Cricetulus griseus: one gene and its partner. The main gene of each other region encodes a partner of the protein of the gene in region 2 in a complex. Links are inferred from orthologs where the notes say so. Each region holds a gene or a part of one and is shown on either strand. Other genes may lie near its edges. The genes, in order: Efcab2 and Drc3.

Region 1 (4,595 bases), on a different chromosome or scaffold from region 2:
AACGCTGAGGAAACTTCAAAGAAATGATAAAACTTAAAAGAGATTTTTTTCATATCATATTTCAAACATTCTTTCAGTACAAAAAAAAGATGAATGACTTAAAATTGACTTTGTTTTAAATTTCTAAATTCATATGCTTTTTAGCTAGAGAAAAAAATTAGGAAAAAGTAAATTACACTGTCCAAACACAAAATAAGCTACAGAGAAGCATAACTACATCAACACATACATAACCACATAGAAAGGTTTTTCCAAGCAATTTTTCCCTCCCTCCCCCCTCCCCAGACAGGGTTTCTCTGTATTGCTTTGGAGGCTTTCCTGGAACTCATTCTGTAGACCAGGATGGCCTTGAACTCACAGAGATCTGACTGCCTCTGCCTCCTACAGGCCTTTAGTCTCTGCTGGGACTAAAGGTGTGCACCACCAACGCCCATTTTAGCAATTCTTCATCTTAATTATCCACTTTACTGGACAGAGACACAGCACACCTCTCAATGTGTCTCAGGGCTTTCCCAGGGACAACTGGATCTTGAGGGCACTAACCTAATCCATTTATAGATTCAAAACTTTGAACAGAACTATAAAAGGTAAGGTCTCTTGAATGAAAAAGGATGCTGGGGTGTGTCCTGGGGGGGGGGTGTCTTATCTTGGCCCTGGCTCCTTCCTATTGCTCCTCTTGGCATGTTTTCCAGCTGTTATGTTTCTAATCTCCCTTACTGATGAGGCCATAGAGAGGGCAAAGCCAATGCCTTCCTCATCTTCTTAGTCACTTAAGTTCTGACTTCACCTAAGGCTAAAGTTAACCTGCAAGCCCCACTTGCCCAAGGACAGAACACTTCCTGGAATGCTGGGGGCTGTTGTCCTTGTAAGATAACAAGTCACATATTTTCACTTCAATAAACAAGGTTGGTTGCCCCATCTGCACAGGATGTGTTTGATCAGAGAGAGGCTGGAGATTTACCTAGGCAGGAAATAGGACAGGGTGTATGTTTGCCCCCATTGGCCAAAGGTGGAAAGTACAGTGGCCTTGTGGGTTTGGCCTTTATAGGCACCTGACTGACCTGATTTCAGCACCATTTCTCTGGGAATCCTGAATACAGACCTGGCTAGTCTCCACCTTCCTGGTCAGTATTTAATAGAGCTTGCTTCAGTTGGACAATCACAGGTTTGGTCTTCTCAAAATTCTCCAGTTTAATACTAACTTTCCATCAAACAAGCATTAAATATACAAGAACTTTAATATATATGAAATTCAGCTTTCAACAGCCACTACTTAACTTGTACAGTTGCAGACAGAACTGTTTCTTCCTCTAAATGTATTTTAAGCTGAAAAATATGCTTTGTTAACTAAAGAATCAGGAATTCATTCTCTTTCTCTCTCTCTCTCTCTCTCTCTCTCTCTCTCTCTCTCTCTCTCTCTCTCTCTCTCTCTCTCTCCCTCCTTCCCTCCCTCCCTCTCTCTAGGGCTAAAAATCAGACTGGGCATACTCCTTTAATCACATCACTGAGTTCTACAAACCAATCAGGGGCACAAGGTAAATAAAAGAATATATTTTCTTGCATTGTAAAAACTGGCAGTATATGCCAATGCTCCCCTAAGCAAGTCTTTTTTAAAAAATGTAATTTATCTCCTAATAGTTCTTTTTCCCTTTTATTTTCTTTGGGGGGGGGGTAAATAAGAATCTAATTAAATAAAAGGGAAAGCTTTTTTATGTGAAAATTTTTTTCATATATTATTTTGGTCATATTCTTTCACCTCCCTGATCCTCCCTACCCCCCTACTCAACAACTATCATATTCTTAAAAAAAAAAAAAAAAAAAAAAAGTACATGGACATTTTTCTTAAGAGTGTTCCTTTCACTTCTAAAGCAGTAACACAAAACCTTAATACCTTAATAGGGTTAAACCTGTACTACAATCCCGGCTTCTGAGATTAATTTTATCATGTATAAATCTCAATTTCCAGTTATCAATAAACAGATCTCTGGCAGTCTCACAGTTTCCCTGCTGCTTTTCTGCGGTCACCATGACGATGGACTAAACACCTCATGTAAATATTAGTTAACTACTTTGTTCCAAACTGAGAGTGGAGGAGGGTCGATATGGTGCGTTGTGAAAACTCAAAAAAACTGCAACAAAGATGGAGCGTGACCTTCCCTCCACGAATATTTGCCCTTTACTATCTTAGGGCTTGCTTTATGTATTTATTTACTGATTTATGGAGCGGTGATTTCGGTCAATTGTGGTGTAATTGCTGTTGGGTCACTGGACGCTAACCACGGACCCGATTTTAAGTCACGCTGCTGGGTTAGAAGCCAACTCAAAGGGTCTAGCAGTTCAACGCGGATCGTCGCTTTTCGGGGTCCCCGGAGGCCTCGCGGGTCACTGCAGCCGCCTCGGTCGGTCCCCAGCACGCGCGGGGAACCCGGCGGGTCCGGGCGGCCCCGACGGGTCCCCGGCTGGGTTTTCCTTTCCGTTCTTATTATAAAGCGGTTATTTGGGCATCTCTTCCTTTAAGCGAGGTTCTGGCGACACCCGGGCGAGCACGGCCCGGTGTGACCTCGAGGCCTCGCTCTGCCGCCTGGCGGAGGAGGCAACATGGAGGCGGCCGGCGCCTGGGGCCGGGCCGGGCGTGGCTACGGCGCGACCGCAGAGGCTCCCGCCCGGTTCCGGCGCCGGCTCGCGTCCGCCGTGAGGCCGGCCTCCGGGTCCCCACAGTCCCGGGCGCGGCGGGCGTGGAGGCCCCGGGAACAAGGACGCCATTATGAAGGTCCCCTGCGGCTGCCACGGCCGCAGCCCGCGCGGACCTCAGCCGGGGGATGGGAGGGCGCGGCGGGCGGGGCGGAGGGGCCGCGGGGCGGAGCCGACGGCGGGGACGCGGGCTGGCGCCGCTCCTCGGCCCCCGTCTGCCCGCCGCGCCGCGCCGCCCCGCGCCGCCGAGGGGCTCAAGATGGAGGCCCCGGCAGCGTTCCTACCTGTGCCTTCCCGTTCCTTCTCCTCCGCCATCTTGGTGCGGAGCCCGTCGCCTGGGAGATGCCCATCACAAGCCCTGCGGGGCGCGCGAGCCCGGCCTGCGGGAGGGAGCCCCTCGGCGCGCGGGGGTCCTCCCGCTTCCGCCCGGGGCCCGCTCCGCTCCCCCAGCCCAGCCCCGGGGTCTTGCGGCCTAGGGGAGTCGTTTATTAATAAAGTTCCGGAGCCCGCCTTGGCCTGTTTGTGACCGTCCTGAGAGTTCAAGCGCTGCGCGCTCCCCCTCGGGGGACGGGGCTGCCTCGTTTGTGTGCTTATTTGTTTATTTACTTATTTATTTATTTACTTATTTGCGGTTTCTGCTGCTTCGGTTTGGTTTTGTATTGTTTTTGCGCAGAGCTCGCGTGCAGAGCGCGGCTTCTCCCCGGCCCATTCACAACCGTAAGGCCGCTCGCCCGCTGCCCTCCCTCCCGCTCGCCCGCCAGCCAGGCCCGGTGCGTCCCCTGGGTCGCCCTCTAAGCGGAGCCACTGCGCAGCCCAGGGAAACTGGAGCGAAAACGGACGTGGGCCGCTGCCGGAGGAAGCCAGCAGGCCTCTCTCCGGGATCGCGAGAGAGGGCTCGCTGTAGGAAAACACGTGCAAAATAGGCGCAAAACACTGCGTCGTCAAGGCTGCAATGTCTGGTACAAAATAGTGTTCTCATAGCAACGAATAAATTGCCGGTCTGTTCTCAGTATTACACACATTGATAGGTTGATGGTGCAGTTTGGCGTGACCTTCCAGGGAGAGTTTTGAATCCTATGTTCCTGAGGAACTTGGCTGTAGTGTTTTGTTATTTTATGGGTAAGCTTGATATATTTGGATGTTTTCTTTTTAAAAAAAAAAGTATTAAAATGTCTTTAACAATGTGGCTCAGATGAATAACTAGTTTTAATCCTTAATGATATTTCAGGGCATGTGTACTCATTTAAAAATTTATTATAAAAATAACAACTAAATGTTAAGGCTTTTAAAATGCAAGATATTAGTATTTAAATTTGGGGAGGGGGAAGGGAGGTTCGAGACGGGCTTTCTCTCAGTGTGGCTTTGGAGGCTGTCCTGGAACTAGCTTTTGTAGACCAGGCTGATCTCGAACTCAACAGAGATCAGCCTGCCTCTGCTCCTGAGTGCTGGGATTAAAGGCATGCACACCGCCAGGCTGTATTTAATTTTGTGTTACTGGTTTTTCTTAACTGAACTTCTGTAAACAGAGTGCAATGAACCTTCAAAGCAGGCCAAGCAAGTGTGGGGAGAAAGAGAACCGGCCATTCCTGATTGCAGAGGATCCTAAATGTTGCCTGCTCCCTAAGTCTTTCTCCACCTCTTCCTCAGTGGTTCCATAGTTCCACAAGCTCTTGGAATGGTTTATAGTGCTTTTATTTATTTGTTTCTACCACATAAGTTTCTAGCGAATAAAGTTGTGTTATACAATGGGACATTCTGTCTGGAAATTGTCTTGTATGTCTGTGTCTATATGTGAGAAAGAGTGTATATGTGTCTGTGTGTGAGAAAGAAAGTGTGAGTATGTGTCTGTGTGTGTGAGCGTGCATCTATCTGTGTGTGTATGTAAGTGTGTGTGTGTGTGTGTG
Region 2 (3,809 bases):
AGTGTGGTTAGCCTCATCTGTTTGGATTCTCTCAAGGGCCTTTTAGCTGCGTCACAACATCAGATGGCATTATGTTGGAGTGCAAGCTCCAGTGTCAGGTGACAGATGTTGAGTAGGTCATGTGTGGGGGAGAAGAGGTACAGGAGAGGGCTGGCAAAGCAGAGTTTTCTTTAGAAAACCCACCTCTGACTGGCCAGCAACCCAGTCCCACACAGGGAAAAGCGCCAGGCCTTTCTATCGACCGATTCATTTCTTTTAAAATGAAAAAAGAGTTATTGGGAGTGCATGCATGTGGAGATCAGGACAACTTTGTGGAGTCAGTCTTCTCTTTTCACCTCTGCATGGCTTCCAGCAATTGAACTGAGGTCTTCAGCCTTGCATAGCAAATGTCTTTACCTCCTGAGCCATCCCTCACCCCACACCCCCAATCACGTCTTACCGGTACCACGTCTCAATCTTGCCACCTTATGAGATGAGACTATATCCACTCCACAGCAAAAACAGTTCCAATCTTTGAGCAAACCAGACAGAAACCCCTTAGAGCCCCAGGGAGCAAGTGGAAGTCTATGGAAAATAGGCTGAACATTTTGAGTGAGACAGTCTTGTGGGCTGGTGAGCAACCTGTTCATCAGCAAAGGTCCCAGTAACGTGACCAGCACCAGTGTAATGCAACCTTGTTTTGTGACTAAAAGTATGAGCCCTGAAGCAGGAAGGAGCAATGATACTGGTTAGTGGGACAAAGGACATGTGTGATACTTTCCTGCCTGGGAAGGACCCAGCTCATGCCTACCACAACCCTTACTTGAAGACTAGTGAAGGTTCCAATGCAAAAACAAATGTAAAAAAGCAAGAAGAAAATCAGGAGATTTTTTTTTCCCTTTGAGACATTGTCTCACATAGCTCTGGCTGGTCTCAAAACTTGCTAGGTAGCTGAAGCTAATTCCCTTGCCTCTACCTTCCAGGAGTGTTTCCCCACACTTGAATTTATGTGGGACTGGTGGGACTGAAGGTAGAACCCAGGATTTCATGCTATGCTAGCATTGTACCAACTGAACTACATCCTCAGTCCAACAAGAAAGACCTTTACTGGAGACTCTCAGAACGGAGAAATACTTTCCAAGAACAACCAGAAGGAAGACTGGTAAATTTTATTCTATTAAAAATTTATGCCAGTGGTGGTGCAAACCTTAAATCCCAGCACTTGGGAGGCAGAGGCAGGCTGAGCTCTGTGATTTTGAGGCTAGCCTGGTCTACAGAGTGAGTTTCAAGACAGGCAAAAGCTACACAGAGAACCCATCTCGAAAAACAAAACATATATATATATATATATATATATATATATATATATATATATGCTGGGGGTATAATATGCTTAGTAGACTGCCTGACTATACAAACAAACACTCCACATGACAAAAGCAACATAGACAAATGTCAAGATAAATAGCAAAGTACTTGGAAAAGTACTCTCAAGTTACTTCGAAGACACAGGGCTACTAGCTCAACCTATAAAGAGCCATCATAAAGTAATACCTTAAAACGTATAGGGGAGAGAAAGAGAAAATGGAAGAATGGCAGTGAGCTAGACAAGCAAAACCAAAGATGGGCTAAAATGAGAGGCTTGTGAGGAGCAGGCAGGCTGAGATTGGAATGGACTCAGTGGGTGCAGAGCAGCACTCACTCCACTAAAACCCCAAGGCACCGTGACTTGATCCCTGCTGGTGCTGCTGGCAGAAGAGCCCCAGGAACCTCCTTAGTTCCCTAGCTCTTCTCTGGAGGTGAGCCTTTCTATAGCTCTAGGACAACCCTGACCACTCTGCCACTCAGATAAGAAAGGCTTTGGCCCAGGGCCCAGGCCTTACAAGGTGGGAACTGCCAAGGACAGAAAGCATGTACATCAGAACCCTAGCATGCCAGGGCCAGGCAGAGTGAGGCTTGGAAAATAAATGGCTGCTGAATGAATGAATGAATGAATGAATGAACAGATAAACAAACAGAAGAAAGTATGGGTATTACTACCTAATGGTATATCTCACACTAATGATGATGAGTGGGGGTGGGGTGGCTTGAATCCTAGGGGTATCTGATGTGAGGGAGATACCCTGTGTTGGATTAGTTGAGCTGTGTGTGGTGCCATTTGGTGAAACTGTGACCCCTGGTACATGGACAGAGACTTGGGGCCTCAGAGCCACTGGAAGACATGAACATTGCAGCCCCTCCACAGTGAGGGGAGTCCTGGCAGCCTGGCACAGGAGAAGGGGACTTACCAGCAGATGCTTTTCCTCAAACTTGGTAACCTTGAGCTTGCCCTGTTCCTGGTTCTCCCGGATAGCATCCTGAATGCACTCATTGAAAGTGTCTAACTCTGCCATTCGCTTCTCCTGCTGCTTCAAACCATATTCAAAAATGTTCAGGCAGATGATGACAAATTTGTCCTTGTAGGTAAGTGGCTGTTAAGGAAGCTTGGGGCTCAAGAGCAGGCCACTAGGATTGTGACAAAAATGTTGACAGTTCCTTGCAGGACATACCATGCTGAGAACTATGGAGGGTACAGGTGATCCTTTTGGACAGAAGGAGAAACAGAGAAGCCAGGGAACCAGGGCTTGCAATTCGGTTATGACATCTCTACCTGTGCCTAAGGAACTTGGGAACATGGCTAAAGGCCTTAGAAGAGACTTCTAGAGGACTAGGGGTGTGGGTGAGAGCTAGAAGCAGCCTGGCTAGGAGAAGGAGGTGGAGTCCTTTTTTTTTTTTTTTTTTTAATCTCTGGTTATCTGGTTAAATTAAGATTTTTTTTTAATCTTCTGGGGAGGGCCTGCCCTGTAACTCATCTGAGCTATGAGAGGAACCAGGTGGTCTAAGTTCAATTCCTGGCTCTAATGCTGCTCCTGGGACCCATGCTAGCAAGTTACCTCTTTAGGCCTCAGTATCTTTACCTCAGCTAACAGCATGGAGGAAGCCACCACAAGAATTCTTCAGAAGCTGGGAGTGGTGGCACACACCTTCAATTCCAGAATTGGGTGGGGCCAGAGGCAGGGGATTTCTGTGAGTGAGTTCCAAGCCAGTTAGGGCTACAACAGTGAAACCTTGTCACAAAACAAAACAAAACAAAACAAAAAGCATCCTTCCTTGGCAGAGACCTGGGGCTCAGGACAGGCAAACCCATGGGGTCTTGGGGATGCTGTGGGGATGTGTTCAGGAGATTGGATGCCTTTCTACAAATCCCACAGCTTTCCAGTGCTTAAGCCAAGAGCATGGGTCCCTAAGGAAGACAATGGCCAGCAAGGTAGACACCCTTTTTCACTCAGTCTCTCCATAATGTTGAGTATTCTGTGTAGGTAGTCACTGAAAAAGTTGTCAAGTTCAATGCAGCCACTGATGTCTAGGCTCTGCCCTTAGCAGCTCACCAGAGCTGGGAGGGCCGTGTATGGAGGTTCTCACATAGGAGCCATCAACAGGCTCAGCCAGCTTCATACTCTCACACGTCCAAACCAGGAAAAGGACTAGCTGTACCCCATGACTGCTGCTGGCGCCATGACATCACACAGTGCAGTCACTTTTCACTCCTAGTGAATCCTGACCTTTTCCAAACTGCAATTCTAGTTTCATATCTTATTCACAAACAACACTTCCTTTATTAGAGACTCATCTCTGTAGTTTTTTCTGGAGATTGACACCTGTGTTGGGGGCCCCACAGATTGGCTGTCTCAACCCAGAGCCTTCAGTTCCTGAATGCCTCATGTCCTGGAAGTCCCCTCCATCTCCTGCTTACCACTGAAGCTCTCATGATCACTGCCACTATGTATGGG

Evidence for each region.
Region 1: Drc3 (region 2) and Efcab2 share a complex: the UniProt entries of both Homo sapiens proteins name them as parts of the nexin-dynein regulatory complex. The link is inferred for Cricetulus griseus from reciprocal best matches to the Homo sapiens genes DRC3 and DRC8.

What each region holds. Positions count from the first base shown.
Region 1 is NC_048598.1:15,756,071-15,760,665, forward strand, and holds the start of Efcab2 (dynein regulatory complex protein 8), read right to left. Parts: upstream 3,007-4,595; coding exon 2,976-3,006; coding exon of another isoform or gene 2,599-2,975; exon of another isoform or gene 2,088-2,598; intron 1-2,087. Other genes in the region: protein SOGA3, read left to right, coding at 2,599-3,183. UniProt on the Homo sapiens protein: Component of the nexin-dynein regulatory complex (N-DRC), a key regulator of ciliary/flagellar motility which maintains the alignment and integrity of the distal axoneme and regulates microtubule sliding in motile axonemes.
Region 2 is NC_048600.1:74,503,536-74,507,344, reverse strand, and holds part of Drc3 (dynein regulatory complex subunit 3), read right to left. Parts: intron 2,443-3,809; coding exon 2,268-2,442; intron 1-2,267. UniProt on the Homo sapiens protein: Component of the nexin-dynein regulatory complex (N-DRC) a key regulator of ciliary/flagellar motility which maintains the alignment and integrity of the distal axoneme and regulates microtubule sliding in motile axonemes.